4 linked regions of the Saccharomyces cerevisiae S288C genome follow. The gene in region 2 interacts genetically with the main gene of each other region. Each region holds a gene or a part of one and is shown on either strand. Other genes may lie near its edges. The genes, in order: COX5B, NOP19, HFA1 and AFG2.

Region 1 (2,629 bases), on a different chromosome or scaffold from region 2:
TTAGCAAGCCGAAGAAGTGCCACTCCTAGAATTGAAGACGAAGAGGACGATACGAGGATGCTCAATCTGGCAGACGATGACTTTAATAACGATCGTGATGTCAAGGAATCTACAACTTCGGATTCGCGCAAGAGATTGGATGACAATGAAAATGTTGGTACTCAATACTCATTGGACTGGAAAAAACGTAAAACAAATGCCTTGCAAGATGAAGAAAAATTAAAAAGTATCTCACCACTCTCTATGGAACCTCATTCTCCAAAGAAGGCAAAATCTGTAGAGATAAGTAAAATACATGAAGAAACGGCTGCTGAAAGAGAAGCAAGACTCAAGGAAGAGGAAGAATACAGAAAGAAAAGATTAGAAAAGAAAAGAAAAAAAGAACAGGAACTACTACAAAAGCTGGCCGAAGATGAGAAAAAAAGGATCGAAGAACAGGAGAAGCAGAAAGTCTTAGAAATGGAAAGATTGGAAAAAGCTACTTTAGAGAAAGCAAGAAAAATGGAAAGGGAAAAAGAAATGGAAGAAATCTCTTATAGAAGGGCAGTAAGGGACTTATATCCGTTAGGACTGAAGATTATTAACTTCAACGATAAACTTGATTACAAAAGATTTTTGCCGCTATATTATTTTGTAGACGAAAAAAACGATAAATTTGTGCTCGACTTGCAAGTAATGATATTGTTGAAGGATATCGACTTGCTCTCAAAGGACAACCAACCAACTTCTGAGAAGATTCCCGTCGATCCCTCGCACCTGACTCCATTGTGGAATATGTTGAAATTCATTTTCCTGTATGGAGGTAGTTATGATGATAAAAAGAACAACATGGAAAATAAAAGATATGTTGTAAACTTTGATGGGGTTGATTTGGACACAAAGATTGGGTATGAGCTTTTGGAGTACAAAAAATTTGTTAGTTTGCCCATGGCGTGGATTAAATGGGATAACGTTGTTATTGAAAACCACGCAAAAAGAAAAGAAATTGAAGGAAATATGATTCAAATATCAATAAACGAATTTGCACGATGGAGAAACGATAAGCTGAACAAAGCGCAGCAGCCGACGCGCAAACAGCGTTCTCTAAAAATACCTCGAGAGTTACCGGTTAAATTTCAACACCGTATGAGCATATCCTCCGTCCTCCAGCAGACATCCAAAGAACCATTTTGGTAAAACAATTCATCGGTCCGTTGGCATATGCTCATACATAGTTGCATTTTCGATTCATTAAATACTATTCATGTTAACATAATTCCATATAATCGTACTGTTTTGTCATTATTATATCGGCATGACACTCACCAATTTCTTTTTTTGATTTTGTATTGTTCGATAAGGCAACGAACGAGTACTCGAAAAAATGTCATGGACCCCTTAAAATTACTGAGGGGTTCAGAAAATACCGTGCAAAAGACGAAAAAAGACGAATTTCATTTGATTTATATTTTATAAATGACTGTTGCATTAAACAATAGACCAATTATTTCAATTTAATATTCTTTGCAGGAAACTTTCACAATGGAATAACGCCACATATTCATTGTAAAGAGCATGTATAACAAACACTGATTTTTGTTTTGAGTTTTAAAAGATATCCATTTACTAACATTCGAGGTGTACAAGCACAAGTTTTGCAGTGTTGCGTACTTCTCTTACTAAAGGGGCACGGCTAACTGGGACAAGATTTGTTCAAACAAAGGCCCTTTCGAAGGCAACATTGACAGATCTGCCCGAAAGATGGGAAAATATGCCAAACTTAGAACAGAAAGAGATTGCAGATAATTTGACAGAACGTCAAAAGCTTCCATGGAAAACTCTCAATAACGAGGAAATCAAAGCAGCTTGGTACATATCCTACGGCGAGTGGGGACCTAGAAGACCTGTACACGGAAAAGGCGATGTTGCATTTATAACTAAAGGAGTATTTTTAGGGTTAGGAATCTCATTTGGGCTCTTTGGTTTAGTGAGACTATTAGCCAATCCTGAAACTCCAAAGACTATGAACAGGGAATGGCAGTTGAAATCAGACGAGTATCTGAAGTCAAAAAATGCCAATCCTTGGGGAGGTTATTCTCAAGTTCAATCTAAATAAGTAGACGAGGAAAATAAAATTGTTTCGTATATTCCGTGTTTGGGGTATAAGTAGATTGTTTTCATATATACGCATTTGGTCTTAGTTCAGTAGGTTGATTACTTAGTTCCTTGTACCTTCTTCTGCAAATATCATTCATTGTTACTTCGAAGAAGAAAAAAAATAATCATGGAAAATTGGAAAAAAAAAAAGTCCAATCTAAAAAATAAAAATGTTCAAGTCATCGATTCTATGGGGAGGAAAAGGACAATCAGAACCGAAGTGTTGTGTAGCTAAAATATGTCATTTTCCTTCGGCTTTACTTCCAATGACTTTGATGATGATGAGCTTGTTGCTCAACCTGAAACATTCGTTGAAAGCAGCAAAGAAAACGAAAATACCACTGCTTACATCAATCCATTAGATTCGGATTTCTTGTCGCAAGCTGGAGTTGTGCAGCCAAATGTGGAAGACCTAGGAACAATATTGGAAAGTCTTAAGGATGTTAGATTGACATTTGAAGAGTTCCAATCTCCGATATATAGAAAACCATTG
Region 2 (2,810 bases):
TTGTTTTTATTTATTGCTTAATCAAACATTTACGCAGTATAATTGTTTAGGTTTGAAAAATCCATAAACGTATATAATGATACATATAGCTTCAAAAAACTGAAAGTAGAGAGAGTTGTAAGAATATATGAATATCCAACTATAAAAAATCTTGCGTAAGAATTTCAATAGTCGATATATTGTTTAGGTCCAAACACTTAAATATGCCTGTTTAACACGCGTTTGTAAAGTTCTAATTAATTCTTTTCCATACAGCGCACTACATGTCTTATTTTTTTTGTCTTTGCTCTCGAGTATTGAAAAGGATTGCGAAAAAAGCAAATAGTGGCTGGTCAAAAATTCTAGTGGAGCATTAAGCCTACTGAGGAAGGATCTGCATTGCTACATCTCATTTAATGTTATTCTAGCAACGTTAACGTACTCAGTACTTGCAGTATGCAATAATTGCCTTGGCTAGAATTCTCTTCTGTACGTATTCATTTGTTGACAAGCAAACATCATTACGCCCTACATAAAACAACAGACGAGGGAAGAAAGACGCATTTTTTGCTGCCCATAAGTGTTTAAGATTATTTACGTGCCTTCTTTTTTTTATCAAAAAGTAAACCAAATTTTTTTTTTGTGGACTTTTGCGGCATTGTCCCTGCATCTTCATCCTCTTCATCACTGGCACTATATGAGTTCGAAACGCTGCTTTTGCTATGCTCTTGTTTCTTCCTTAGTCCTTCCTTCTCGCCTTTCCTCATTTTTCTTTTAAGCGCAATCATGGCTTTCGTATCATCTTTAGTGATCCTGTACATATTATTTCGTTGCAACCCTGGGTCACTTCTTTTCTTTTTCTTTGCCAACGAACTTACCTTTTTATCACCCTCAATAAACTCACCAATCGTATGTATATCTTCTTTGGCGGAAGCGTCATCTTGTGTGCGGAAGTGTAGGCCCGATCCAATCTGCAAAACGGGAAGCTTGAAAAATGCCTTCTTACCATCCTCCAACTCCTTGTGATCTTTTAACTGTTTGTTACGCTCTGTATCATTGCTAATGCCGGTTTCATCTGATTCTTTCAGCCAGTCCAAAACTGCAGCAGTATTGTTACTGAAAGTAGACTGGAGTTTCGCTTGCAAGTTGAGCTTCTCTTGTAATTCTTTGGCCCTACTCATTCTGAACACTACCGAGGAAAGATAATACGGTATACTGTATCAACTGTAGATGTGAGAAGAGGATTTGTTTCAACATCTTATAAATCTTGAAATCTTTTTTATGCGTTAGTTTTTCCAATCTCATCGCTAGAAATTGCCCGCGTCGCAGGTCAATTACAGGCCGTCAAGAAGAAACAGCGGCCACTACGGTTACTTCCAATGCCTTTAAAGCAGGATCAAACATGCAATCATTATTGTCTTACTAAAAGGTTGATACATACATACTGTAACTAAAGCTGACGTTAGGAAATAAATATCTAAAACAAATGACAGCTATCGAACAGGCCAATTTAAGACGATTTTAGGTAAAAAAAATCCGGACCAAAGTGGCACGGCTTCTTTGTGTAAATGCCTTCCACTATTTTATTCAAGAGGTTGTAGGAAATGCCTCTCTTCAGATCTTCCAAACAATAACATTACATAACTGAACAGTGAAGGAGCATTCTGGTTTACTGTAAAAGTCTCCTCCTTGTCCCTCCTTGTTTTCCAATTAAGAAACTTTGTAGCGTCTAATTCATTGTAGTCCTGGTTCCTTGGCTTCGATCTTCTTTCAAAATACCAAAGCTTTTTTGAAAGGCAGTGTCTTAAAGATACTACGAATGTGGCTGCGTATCATATATGTATATGTATATATACAATTATATTCTATGTTTGAAAAGGTCGTTTTTCGTTCAGAACACTCGTATATCTTCGGCGGTTAGAAAAGATAGTGAAACTAAAGGAGGAGACTATAGAGACACTGCATTGTATTGAATAAACAAACAAGGCGACGACTCACTATTACAAAGTATTTTCATGGATGCAGCCCTAAATAAACCGTTGTATCTTATATCATTACGCTCAATAATCGTTAATGAAGAAGAAGGGCGGCTATTTTCGTAAATTACACTACAAACTTCAATTACATACGCAATTCTTGTCACATGCCAATGAGCACTATATCATATGCTACAAGCTCACATACACAAGGGTTATGTTTCCTTAGCGGCATATTTTTGAAAGTCAAAAAATGTGTACAACAGAGAGAAAGAGGAGGGCCGCAACAGCTTGAAGACAACAGATGAGAGCCAAGTTCGTATGTGGATTACGTCCGAAGGAATTGAACTTCCCAAGAGTAATGTGTACGGGACTGATCGAAATTCTCTCTTTTTCCTTAGAGCGTCTTTCTGCAGATCGCCACTACTATTCCTAGCGGAAGAAACAAAAGAACGAAAAAAAAAACACTAGCCTATGCAAAGGGGAATATAATCATATGGGAATACAAGGATTGTAGTACTTGCATATTGTTCCGGCCCAACCCATTTCAAGATCCAACTACTTCATGGTAGGAAGCACAGTTTTTACATTCCCGAGAAGCAGCGCCCGCTTATTGCCCCGATAGAAGCAAAAACACCGCAACTCGTGGTTACGGGGTAAGAAACCGAAAATTATTTAATCATCTACGGGGCTACGCTTTTACATAATCTCTAGAGTATTCTAGAGAATTGAGATGATTTATGTCTTTTCCCGGCTAACATGCAAGTAGAATGCGGATAAGCCTCATGGAGCGTGGTTGATTAATCGACACTCTCGGTATTCTCTTGTGTACGTACGATGTTTCTCCCGCTGATC
Region 3 (8,022 bases), on a different chromosome or scaffold from region 2:
AAGAGCAACCGCCGCCACCAGCACCGGTAAGTTTTGTGGAGCCAATTCTCAAATCATCGCTCAGATTTTTAATAAGTTCTAATCCAGGATGAGAAACACCGATTGAGACAAGCAGTCCATGATTTATTCTTATCAATTCCAATAGTTGTTCATACAGTTCATTATTAGTTTCTACAGCCTCGTCATCGGTGCCTTTACATTTACTTAACTTAGTCATGATCTCTAAGCCTTGTAGGGCACATTCACCCATGGCATCTAGAATTGGCTTCATAACTTCAGGAAATTTCTCGGTGACCAACACACGAACGCGAGCAACAAGATCTTTTGTAGACCTTGGAATTCTAGTATAGGTTAGGATCATTGGAATGGCTGGGAAATCATCTAAGAACTTAAAATTGTTTGTGTTTATTGTTCCATTATGTGAGTCTTTTTCAAATAGCAGGGCATTACCATAAGTGGCCACAGCGTTATCTATTCCTGAAGGGGTACCGTGAATACACTTTTCACCTATGAAGGCCCATTGATTCACTATATGCTTATCGTTTTCTGACAGCTTTTCCAAGTCATTAGATCCTATTAACCCCCCCAAGTAGGCCATAGCTAAGGCCAGTGATACAGAAATAGAGGCGCTTGAGCCCAACCCAGCACCGATGGGTAAAGTAGACTTTAAAGAAAACTTAATATTCTTGGCATGGGGGCATAGGCAAACAAACATATACAGGAAACAAAACGCTGCATGGTAGTGGAAGGATTCGGATAGTTGAGCTAACAACGGATCCAAAAGACTAACGAGTTCCTGAGACAAGCCATCGGTGGCTTGTTGAGCCTTGGCCAATTTTTGGGAGTTTACTTGATCCTCGGTGATGGCATTGAAATCATTGATGGACCACTTATGATTAAAGCTAATGTCCGGGAAGTCCAATTCAATAGTATCTGGTGCAGATGACTCGCTTATTAGCAGGTAGGTTCTCAACGCAGACACACTAGCAGCGACGGCAGGCTTGTTGTACACAGCAGAGTGTTCACCAAAAATAATAACCTTTCCCGGTGCAGAAGTTAAGAACGGTAATGACATATTGACAGTTTTCTATACGTAGATATAAATTTGCAAGTTAGGACTAAGAAGCGCACCAGCTAACCAGGAAGTAATATCATGGCTAACTAACCTTTATAGGCATATCGTTGTATCGTTCTTCGATACCCTGTCGAAGATTTCAGTGCGACAGCCAAACGAGGCCCGAAAATTGTCAGTACAATTACAACCGATAAAATACACGTTGAGACAAAACTAGCACAAAACGCCTCTTTAAACATAAATGTGTACGCATTCTGAAAGTGAGATAGAGTACAAGGCTATCGCTAGCTTTCCACGGGAGAAGTAGTAGGAACCTCTCTTTTTATTGCTTATGACAGTAATAATAGCATCATTCATCAATGTTTCCGTTAGGGTAACTAAAATGGGTGGGCGGCAGATGACAAGAAAAGATGAATAATGAAGAATGATAAAGAAGAAGTCATCTTGGGTAGAAAGGGAAGACAATTACACACGGCCAAAGCTGGGGGGCTCGCCGGATACATTCTCACTTTTACATTACCATATTCACAATTACTTGCATTCGAATAGGACAGTACAAGCTCGCGTTATATTTGGATCCTTATCGATTCTATAATATAACGGGCAGCCAGATAGTACGGTTGAAAGGACAGCGCCCTGAATACAGAAAACGCATTTTTGCCCATTCGTATAGGCATTCATCTCGAATAGGTTTGAATTTTCCATCTAGAAGAAGGTATTCCAATTATGTGGATCGAGGCAATATTCATAAACATACTCGATTACCGCCCCAGTTCATAGGGCTAAATACTGTGGAAAGTGCCCAACCTTCAATATTAAGAGATTTTGTTGATTTACGTGGTGGACATACTGTTATTTCAAAGATCTTAATAGCAAACAATGGTATTGCTGCGGTGAAAGAAATGAGATCTATAAGAAAATGGGCGTACGAGACGTTCAATGATGAAAAAATCATTCAATTCGTGGTAATGGCGACACCTGATGATTTACACGCAAATTCGGAGTATATTAGAATGGCAGACCAATATGTGCAGGTACCAGGGGGTACCAACAACAACAATTACGCCAACATAGACTTAATACTGGACGTGGCAGAGCAAACGGATGTGGATGCGGTCTGGGCTGGATGGGGCCATGCTTCTGAAAATCCGTGTCTTCCTGAGCTGTTAGCTAGTTCACAAAGGAAAATACTATTCATTGGTCCTCCTGGACGCGCTATGAGATCATTGGGTGACAAGATTTCTTCCACTATTGTAGCACAAAGCGCTAAAATCCCGTGTATCCCTTGGTCTGGTTCACATATAGACACTATCCATATCGATAACAAGACGAACTTTGTATCTGTGCCGGATGATGTATATGTAAGGGGATGTTGTTCCTCACCTGAAGATGCTTTAGAAAAGGCTAAATTAATAGGATTTCCTGTAATGATTAAGGCATCCGAAGGTGGTGGAGGTAAGGGCATTAGGCGAGTAGATAATGAGGATGATTTTATTGCATTATATCGCCAAGCAGTGAATGAGACACCTGGGTCGCCTATGTTTGTTATGAAAGTTGTCACTGATGCTCGTCACTTAGAGGTACAGTTATTAGCTGACCAATATGGCACTAACATTACATTGTTTGGGAGAGACTGTTCCATACAAAGGCGGCACCAAAAGATTATAGAAGAGGCACCAGTGACAATAACCAAGCCTGAAACGTTTCAAAGGATGGAACGCGCAGCAATTCGTCTAGGTGAATTGGTAGGTTATGTTTCTGCGGGCACTGTCGAATACTTATATTCACCAAAAGATGATAAATTTTACTTTTTAGAACTGAATCCGAGACTACAAGTAGAGCATCCAACGACAGAAATGATATCTGGCGTAAACCTTCCTGCCACTCAACTGCAAATCGCCATGGGCATTCCTATGCACATGATAAGTGATATCAGAAAACTTTATGGTTTAGATCCAACGGGAACTTCGTATATTGATTTTAAAAATTTAAAGAGACCCTCGCCAAAAGGCCATTGTATTTCATGCAGGATCACTTCAGAAGATCCTAATGAAGGTTTCAAGCCCTCCACTGGGAAAATACATGAGCTCAATTTTCGTTCTTCTTCCAATGTTTGGGGTTACTTCTCAGTAGGAAATAATGGTGCTATTCACTCATTTTCAGATTCCCAATTTGGGCACATTTTTGCTGTAGGAAACGATAGGCAAGATGCAAAGCAAAACATGGTTTTAGCTCTAAAAGATTTTTCCATCCGAGGAGAATTCAAAACCCCCATAGAGTACCTGATAGAGCTATTAGAAACTCGGGACTTTGAGAGTAATAACATATCGACTGGTTGGTTAGATGATTTGATTTTGAAAAATTTATCTTCCGATAGCAAACTAGATCCAACGCTCGCTATTATCTGTGGTGCCGCAATGAAAGCATACGTTTTCACAGAAAAGGTGAGGAATAAGTATTTGGAATTATTGCGGAGGGGCCAAGTTCCACCTAAAGATTTTCTTAAAACGAAGTTTCCTGTTGACTTCATTTTCGATAATAATAGATACTTGTTCAATGTTGCTCAATCATCTGAAGAACAATTTATTCTTTCTATCAATAAGTCTCAATGTGAAGTTAATGTTCAAAAATTGTCCAGTGACTGCTTGTTGATCTCCGTTGACGGTAAATGCCATACAGTTTATTGGAAGGACGATATCAGAGGTACAAGACTTTCGATAGACTCCAATACCATATTTTTAGAAGCTGAACTCAATCCCACTCAAGTGATCTCTCCAACTCCGGGGAAATTGGTGAAATATTTGGTCCGAAGTGGTGATCACGTTTTTGCTGGACAGCAATATGCAGAAATAGAAATAATGAAAATGCAGATGCCACTAGTAGCGAAAAGTGATGGTGTAATTGAGTTACTAAGACAGCCCGGTTCCATAATTGAGGCTGGTGATGTCATCGCAAAATTGACTTTGGATTCGCCGTCCAAAGCTAACGAATCGTCTTTATACCGCGGAGAATTACCTGTTTTAGGTCCACCGCTAATAGAGGGTAGCCGACCAAACCATAAGCTCAGAGTCTTAATAAATAGGTTAGAAAATATTCTCAATGGATATCATGAAAACTCTGGAATAGAAACTACTCTAAAAGAGTTGATAAAAATATTGAGAGATGGTAGGCTTCCTTATTCAGAATGGGATTCCCAAATTTCTACGGTACGCAATAGACTACCAAGGCAATTGAATGAGGGGCTGGGAAATCTAGTCAAGAAATCTGTTTCTTTTCCTGCAAAGGAACTGCACAAATTAATGAAGCGCTACTTGGAAGAAAATACAAATGATCATGTAGTTTATGTTGCCTTACAGCCACTTCTTAAAATTAGTGAAAGGTATAGCGAAGGTTTAGCTAATCACGAATGTGAAATTTTTTTAAAGTTGATTAAAAAGTACTATGCTGTTGAGAAAATTTTTGAAAATCATGATATACATGAAGAAAGAAACTTACTAAATCTGCGGAGGAAAGACCTTACAAACTTGAAAAAAATTTTGTGCATAAGTTTATCGCATGCTAACGTAGTCGCAAAGAACAAGTTAGTAACTGCAATATTGCATGAATACGAGCCATTGTGCCAGGATTCCTCTAAGATGTCTTTAAAATTCAGGGCTGTTATACATGATTTGGCAAGTTTGGAATCTAAGTGGGCTAAAGAGGTTGCTGTAAAGGCAAGATCAGTGCTACTCAGAGGGATTTTCCCTCCCATAAAGAAAAGAAAAGAGCATATTAAAACTCTCCTGCAATTGCACATAAAGGATACTGGTGCCGAAAACATTCACAGCAGGAACATATATTCCTGTATGAGGGATTTTGGTAATTTAATACATTCAAATCTGATACAACTTCAGGATTTGTTCTTTTTTTTTGGCCATCAAGATACGGCTCTTTCCAGTATAGCATCTGAAATTTATGCAAGGTATGCCTACGGCAATTATCAATTAAAAAGTATTAAGATTCATAAAGGAGCGCCTGATTTACTAATGTCATGGCAATTCAGCTCATTAAGAAATTATTTAGTCAATTCTGATGGTGAGAGTGATGAGTTTACAAAACTTTCTAAACCTCCCTCAACATCAGGTAAGAGCTCAGCAAATAGTTTTGGTCTTCTTGTCAACATGCGTGCGCTTGAATCTCTGGAAAAGACATTAGACGAGGTATACGAACAAATTCATATTCCTGAGGAAAGACTTTCCAGCGGAGAGAACTCTCTTATTGTTAATATTTTATCTCCTATTCGTTACAGAAGTGAAAATGATCTAATTAAAACTTTAAAAATTAAACTTCATGAAAATGAGAGAGGTCTATCCAAGCTCAAGGTTAATCGTATTACATTTGCATTTATCGCCGCGAATGCGCCCGCTGTTAAATTTTACTCCTTTGATGGAACTACGTACGATGAAATCTCTCAAATAAGAAATATGGATCCATCCTATGAAGCACCGTTAGAGTTAGGAAAAATGTCGAACTATAAAATCAGATCACTACCTACATACGATAGTAGTATACGCATTTTTGAAGGTATTAGCAAATTTACGCCGCTAGATAAAAGGTTCTTTGTCAGGAAAATCATAAATTCCTTCATGTATAATGATCAAAAAACAACCGAAGAAAACTTGAAAGCGGAAATCAATGCTCAAGTGGTTTATATGTTAGAACATCTAGGAGCAGTTGACATCTCAAATTCAGACTTGAATCATATTTTTTTAAGTTTCAATACAGTTCTTAACATACCAGTACATCGTCTCGAGGAAATTGTGAGTACAATTCTAAAGACTCACGAAACCAGATTGTTTCAAGAAAGAATCACAGATGTAGAAATTTGCATCTCTGTTGAGTGCCTAGAAACAAAGAAGCCAGCCCCGCTTAGATTACTTATTTCTAATAAATCTGGGTATGTGGTAAAAATTGAGACATATTACGAAAAGATAGGGAAAAATGGGAATCTGATTTTGGAACCGTGTAGTGAGCAGAGCCATTATAGCCAGAAATCTCTCTCTCTTCCTTACTCGGTCAAGGATTGGCTACAACCTAAAAGGTACAAAGCTCAATTCATGGGTACAACATATGTGTACGATTTCCCAGGTCTGTTTCATCAAGCTGCAATCCAACAGTGGAAAAGGTATTTTCCAAAACATAAGCTGAATGACAGTTTTTTTAGTTGGGTTGAATTGATAGAACAAAACGGTAATTTAATAAAAGTAAACAGGGAGCCAGGCCTTAATAATATAGGGATGGTTGCTTTTGAGATTATGGTTCAGACACCTGAATATCCTGAAGGGCGTAACATGATCGTGATTTCTAATGATATTACCTACAATATTGGATCTTTTGGACCGAGAGAAGATTTGTTTTTTGATAGGGTCACAAATTATGCAAGAGAGAGAGGGATCCCGAGGATATACTTGGCGGCGAATTCAGGAGCTAAATTGGGTATAGCCGAAGAGCTGATCCCTCTATTTCGTGTAGCATGGAATGACCCCTCTGATCCAACAAAGGGTTTCCAGTACTTATACTTAGCTCCAAAAGACATGCAGCTACTGAAAGATTCTGGGAAAGGAAATTCGGTTGTTGTTGAACACAAGATGGTATACGGTGAAGAGAGATATATTATTAAAGCAATAGTCGGATTCGAAGAGGGTTTAGGTGTTGAATGTTTACAGGGCTCGGGTTTAATTGCTGGTGCCACTTCGAAAGCGTATAGAGACATTTTCACTATTACTGCTGTTACTTGTCGGTCCGTTGGTATAGGTTCCTATCTGGTCAGACTAGGACAACGTACTATTCAGGTGGAGGATAAGCCTATCATACTGACGGGTGCATCGGCGATTAATAAAGTTTTGGGTACCGATATCTATACATCTAACCTACAAATTGGCGGAACCCAAATCATGTATAAAAACGGAATAGCGCATTTAACAGCCAGTAATGATATGAAAGCCATCGAAAAAATAATGACATGGTTATCATATGTCCCGGCGAAAAGAGATATGAGTCCTCCACTTCTTGAAACTATGGATAGATGGGATAGGGATGTAGACTTCAAACCTGCCAAGCAAGTGCCATATGAGGCAAGGTGGTTGATAGAGGGTAAATGGGACTCAAATAACAACTTCCAGTCAGGCCTATTTGATAAGGATTCGTTTTTTGAGACATTATCTGGATGGGCCAAAGGTGTAATAGTTGGAAGAGCACGTCTTGGAGGTATTCCCGTGGGTGTTATTGCGGTAGAAACTAAGACTATCGAAGAAATAATCCCCGCTGACCCAGCTAATCTGGATTCTTCAGAGTTTTCCGTTAAAGAAGCAGGACAGGTGTGGTATCCAAATTCCGCGTTCAAAACAGCTCAAACTATAAATGATTTTAACTATGGTGAGCAATTACCATTGATTATCTTAGCCAATTGGAGGGGATTTTCTGGCGGTCAAAGGGATATGTACAATGAAGTACTAAAGTACGGGTCTTTTATTGTTGACGCTCTGGTTGACTACAAACAACCCATACTGATATACATTCCGCCCTTTGGTGAATTAAGGGGCGGATCATGGGTTGTTATAGATCCAACTATTAATCCTGAACAAATGGAAATGTATGCCGATGTTGAATCTAGGGGAGGTGTGTTAGAACCTGACGGAGTAGTTAGCATAAAATACCGTAAGGAGAAAATGATAGAGACGATGATTCGATTAGACTCCACATATGGACATTTGAGAAGAACGTTGACAGAAAAAAAGTTATCTTTGGAAAAACAAAATGATCTTACGAAGAGATTGAAAATAAGAGAGAGACAGTTGATACCAATTTACAATCAAATCAGCATACAGTTTGCAGATTTACATGATAGATCGACTAGGATGCTAGTTAAAGGAGTAATCCGAAATGAGTTGGAATGGAAAAAGTCACGC
Region 4 (4,666 bases), on a different chromosome or scaffold from region 2:
AATAAGAAAAATAAGATCCATTTGCGGAACGCTGCCTAAGGCACTCGGTAAATCGTCACTTAGCTGATCATCGAGTAACGTAATTTTCCTTACAGGAGTTGATTGAGTCAAATCTTGGAAAGTTAGCAAACTATTGAGTACTGGCAATACACTTGGTTGAACCACAAGAACTTCATCATTTTGAGATATCTCATTTAAGGTAGCACATAGTCCATCGGCATTTGTTAATGAAAATTTCTTAGTATTCCAAAATCTATTCATCGTGAAATGATTTGATAAAGTTGGAGATGGGCAATATCAGCTTTTTCTTCCTTTCTCGAATTTTCTATCTTTTAACTAATTAACATATAACTAGTTCCAATTTGCTAACCTTTATGATATTTTATTTATGTATGTTCGTGTGAAGTGATTAATATATTATACAAAATGACCGGAGTTCAGTATAATTTCTATCTACTATTATTGAGCACACAAAGGAAAAGAATTGACTATGAACAAGCTTACGAAGATGAACCGCTTCTTAGAGCAAACTCTTCATAATAAGAGAGCATTTCTGGAGTAATGCCCCTAGCAATTCCTTTAAAAGCTTTCTCAAAATGACGTAATTCCACTTTTGCGACATCTAAATCTTCCATTATGGCAGCCAAGCCCGCTTCTTGACAAAGCAGCACAACTTCAGCTCCGGAATAACCTTCTGTACGGTCTGCCAATTCATGAAGATCGACTCCAGACTCTTCTGTATTAAATTTCTTTGTGCACTTCTTTAAGATTTCCAAGCGGGCGTTTACGTCTGGAGGGCCAACGTAAATGTGTCTATCTAACCTACCAGGCCTTAGAAGAGCAGCATCTATTTCATCAGGTCTATTCGTCGCCGCTACAATAACTACACCCTTTAACTCTTCAACACCATCAATCTCATTGAGTAAAGATGTGAGCACGTGATTAGCTGCAGAGGTGGAACTCCCGTCTCTATCAGGAGATAATGCATCGATTTCATCAAAGAAGATAATACTTGGAGCTGCAGAGCGTGCTTTGCGGAAAATTTCTCTTATAGCTCTTTCGGATTCCCCTACATACTTGTTAAAAATTTCAGGCCCTTTCACAGCTAAGAAGTTGATACCCGATTCTGTAGCGAGAGCTTTTGCGGTTAATGTCTTGGAGCAACCTGGCGGCCCGTAAAGTAATACACCTTTTGGTGCAGAAATTCCCAGCCTGGCAAAAGTCTCCGAAGCCTCCAAAGGCAACTGTATCATTTCTTTCATCTTTGTTTTAAGCTCTTCTTGGCCGCCAATGTCAGACCAATAAACTTTTGGCATTTCTAAGAAGATTTCTCTCATTGCGCTGGGTCTGATATCAACCATGGCGCTCTCCACATCTTTCAATGTAACTTTTAGGGAAAACTTGTCAATATTGGCGTCTGTTCCTAGTCCTCGTTGTATCGTCTTCATAACTGATTCTCTGCAGAGAGCAGTTAAATCAGCACCAACATAGCCATGCGTTTTAGAAGCAATGTACTTGATCGCTTCAGAATCTAATACGTGACGATCCGAGGACATTCTTGAGAATTGCTTAGTTAAAATGTCAAATCTGGCATCAACGTCTGGTATACCAATTTCTACTTCTTGGTCAAACCTGCCAGGTCTCCTGAGAGCAGGGTCGACAGAATTAGGCCTGTTTGTAGCAGCAATTACCACCACTTTACCTGCAGCGCCCATGCCATCCATTAGGGTAAGCAATGTAGCCACGACTCTGCTCTCAACTTCACCGGAGTCATCGTTTGCTCTATTTGGTGCTATTGAATCAATTTCGTCAATGAAAATAATGGAAGGCTGGTACTTCCTTGCTTCATTAAAAATATCTCTTAATGCCGCTTCCGTTTCACCAAGATATTTGGAGACGATTGAGGGGCCATTAATGGTTAGGACGTGTGCGTTGGACGTATTTGCTACAACTCTCAAAAGCATAGTTTTACCAGTACCTGGGGGTCCGTGAAGAAGTATACCTCGAGGGGGAGAAACACCAAAGCTACTAAATAGCGTCGGTTGATGAAGAGGTATTTCAATAGCACTTTTCAGTGATTCAATCTCCTTGTCTAAGCCGCCCACTGCTGCATAGGATAAGGGCTCCGGAAGATTGTATTTACGATTTGCCTGGGTTTCTTTCGAAAAAGTTATATGTGTGGAGCCTTTTCTGAATATAAAAGGTGGAGATAGATAAAACAGGTTATCTAATCCACCGTACATATCGTCCATGTTAAGATCTAGTTGGCTGACGTCGGGAAGCGAATCATCGCTCGCATCTGTAATTACGACATCAATGCTTTCATCACCTGCTTTTGTTTTTAAGTTTTGAAAAATCATTCCAGGCATTATAACGCCACTATCATCCAGTAGCTTTTGAATTACTTTTTCCTCCATACATTCCAAAATATTATATCCTTGTAAGGACCCCACGGTAACCTTAGTGGCATAAGGTGGTTGCACCTGGGCTTTCTTTAATTCTAGACGATCACCAAGGATAAGGTTCCCAACAGATCGTATAGTTGTGGAAAGGGTGATAACATTAACAGGATGTACTTCTTCATCACCCGCTCTAGCTATTACTAAAATACCATTTTCGCCTATCTTACCGACAGTACAAAATGATCCCGGATTTATCTCAAGCGAGGATAATACGTTAGGATGAATATATGCTGTGCATGTTTCCTTGCCATGATCTTTAGAAGGATGTGGTCTGGTAATAAATTCAGCAGGCAATTTAAATTTGGATGCTTTTGCATCAGCACTATTAGAACTTGCCGATGATTTCTTTTTGGAACCGGAAGAACTAGATTTAGGAGCCATTTTCCTTTCTATGATTGGGCAATTTTGAGAATGGGCAATGTTGAGAATTCAATTGTATATTGTTCGCATATTAGTTTATGTGATGAGGCAATATAAAATTTTCTTACAATAGTCCGCCCGTTGCTTACATGAAAGAAAAAAAAAATAAAGATGGATCGAAGTGGACTTAAAAACTATGTATACGTGTGTGTGTGTGTGTGCAATAAGAGTTCGAAAACATTAACTTTTATAAACATGACTCACATTGAGAATAAATGAGCTCTCTATAAATACAAACTTGCGGCGAAAACAATATCTCTCTTAATCAACTCTTGAGCCCTGCTCATCTTCATATGTAATGTGGAATTACCAATAATAATAGAGGCAGTCTTAACTTCGCGGCAAATTTCGTCTAGCCAAGTGATAACTCTGACTACAGTACCTTCAGCCTCGGGGCTCATTTCCATGATTTCTTTGAATGATAAACCACGGGCCCACTCATACACCACATTCATCATGGCAAACCTTTTTCTGTCCAAAAACTCAGCTTCATCCTGAGTTAATGGAATCTGATGCGTATTGAAAACACAAAGCATTTTCTTGTAAATTTCCTCAATTCTTTGTTTACCCTTTGCTAGCCTTGGTGTGACAATAGGAGGCTCCTCTTCCCTGGTTTTCCCCTCATAAACAAATACTGATAATAAGGCTACAATCTCTTCAGGTTCAAAGCTTCCTAAAAAGTTGTCTAAAATTAATTCAGTTAAAACTAACTCATAACCAGAATTAATTTCACATGCCACTCTACCTTTTAACAGCACGTTGTGGTTTTGGTCGATAAATTCAGTGTCTTTCAGAACAGCCAATCTCTTTTCATAATCGGGTAGTAAGCTCAGATTTTGGTCAGACATCAAATGGTACAATTCTTCAATTTTCTTTTTAATTACATGCGCCTTAAACTTGGGAACAATGTGTTGGCTTAGGTTGGGACATTTAATGCTTTTTAGTTTGAATATCTCATCCCTTATATTTGTACGGTCTAACAATATTTGGTGAATTTTTAAACCTTGCTTTTCAATGTTAATTGCTTCTTTTAGCGTTTTGCCGTCCAAAATGTTATTTGTTTCAGCGTTAAACTCGTTCAAAGCGGCAACATCCTTTTTAATCACTTTTCCCAAGGGTGCGGCAAACTTGCGTTTAGTGATCACTTCAATAGCCGTCACAGGAACTTCTTCCATATAAAAATCAGTCTTCTGGAATTTAGGGAAGTTCCTTCTTCTGTATCCATCCGCTTTTGGAAAGTATATTAAATGATTTGGCTCACCATTTGGGAGTTTGTATGGTTTTGTGAACGTCATAATGACACAAACAGCATCCTTCAGAGAAACTTTAAATACAAATCCTAATTTCAAGCAATCATTGGGGTCCCTAAAAGCAACGAGTCTGCCCTCTTTCAAGATATGCAATATCGAAGGCGATTTAACCATTTCTTGCATTAGGTTGACTGTTGCCTCCTTATATGCCAGCATCAATTCCAAAAACTTTTCGATATCATTATCACAGATTTCACAACTTTTGTACTCTATGGTTTGTAATTCCTCTTGTAATACTTTGATTTGTTTTTCATGTTCAGGTTGTAAAGTTTCTTTGGCATTCTCACTAAAAGAATACTTGATCATTTCTTCAACTCTCAACGCCTCAATTCTTAAAAGATTTAATATCATATTGTATGTTAATCTAAACTGAGACTGCAACCTCGTCGGAACACCCATCGTTACTTCTTTGAACGTAGCAATAGATAAAGGACTATTATATGCCATCACAATGACTGTACCAGTGGAATCCAA

What was found.
Region 1: mutations in NOP19 (region 2) and COX5B together harm fitness less than expected from each alone (positive genetic interaction), as found in Saccharomyces cerevisiae (one large-scale study listed by BioGRID).
Region 3: mutations in NOP19 (region 2) and HFA1 together harm fitness more than expected from each alone (negative genetic interaction), as found in Saccharomyces cerevisiae (one large-scale study listed by BioGRID).
Region 4: mutations in NOP19 (region 2) and AFG2 together harm fitness more than expected from each alone (negative genetic interaction), as found in Saccharomyces cerevisiae (one large-scale study listed by BioGRID).

The regions. Positions count from the first base shown.
Region 1 is NC_001141.2:153,671-156,299, forward strand, and holds COX5B (cytochrome c oxidase subunit Vb), read left to right. Parts: upstream 1-1,551; coding exon 1,552-1,552; intron 1,553-1,640; coding exon 1,641-2,095; downstream 2,096-2,629. Other genes in the region: HOS4 (Hos4p), read left to right, coding at 1-1,176; HPM1 (protein-histidine N-methyltransferase), read left to right, coding at 2,375-2,629. UniProt on the Saccharomyces cerevisiae protein: Component of the cytochrome c oxidase, the last enzyme in the mitochondrial electron transport chain which drives oxidative phosphorylation.
Region 2 is NC_001139.9:993,989-996,798, reverse strand, and holds NOP19 (Nop19p), read right to left. Parts: upstream 1,161-2,810; coding exon 570-1,160; downstream 1-569.
Region 3 is NC_001145.3:677,520-685,541, reverse strand, and holds the start of HFA1 (acetyl-CoA carboxylase HFA1), read left to right. Parts: upstream 1-1,977; coding exon 1,978-8,022. Other genes in the region: ERG12 (mevalonate kinase), read right to left, coding at 1-1,075. UniProt on the Saccharomyces cerevisiae protein: Catalyzes the rate-limiting reaction in the mitochondrial fatty acid synthesis (FAS) type II pathway. Responsible for the production of the mitochondrial malonyl-CoA, used for the biosynthesis of the cofactor lipoic acid.
Region 4 is NC_001144.5:912,050-916,715, forward strand, and holds AFG2 (AAA family ATPase AFG2), read right to left. Parts: upstream 2,844-4,666; coding exon 501-2,843; downstream 1-500. Other genes in the region: tethering complex ATP-binding subunit VPS33, read right to left, coding at 1-261; SKI complex RNA helicase subunit SKI2, read right to left, coding at 3,107-4,666. UniProt on the Saccharomyces cerevisiae protein: ATP-dependent chaperone which uses the energy provided by ATP hydrolysis to generate mechanical force to disassemble protein complexes.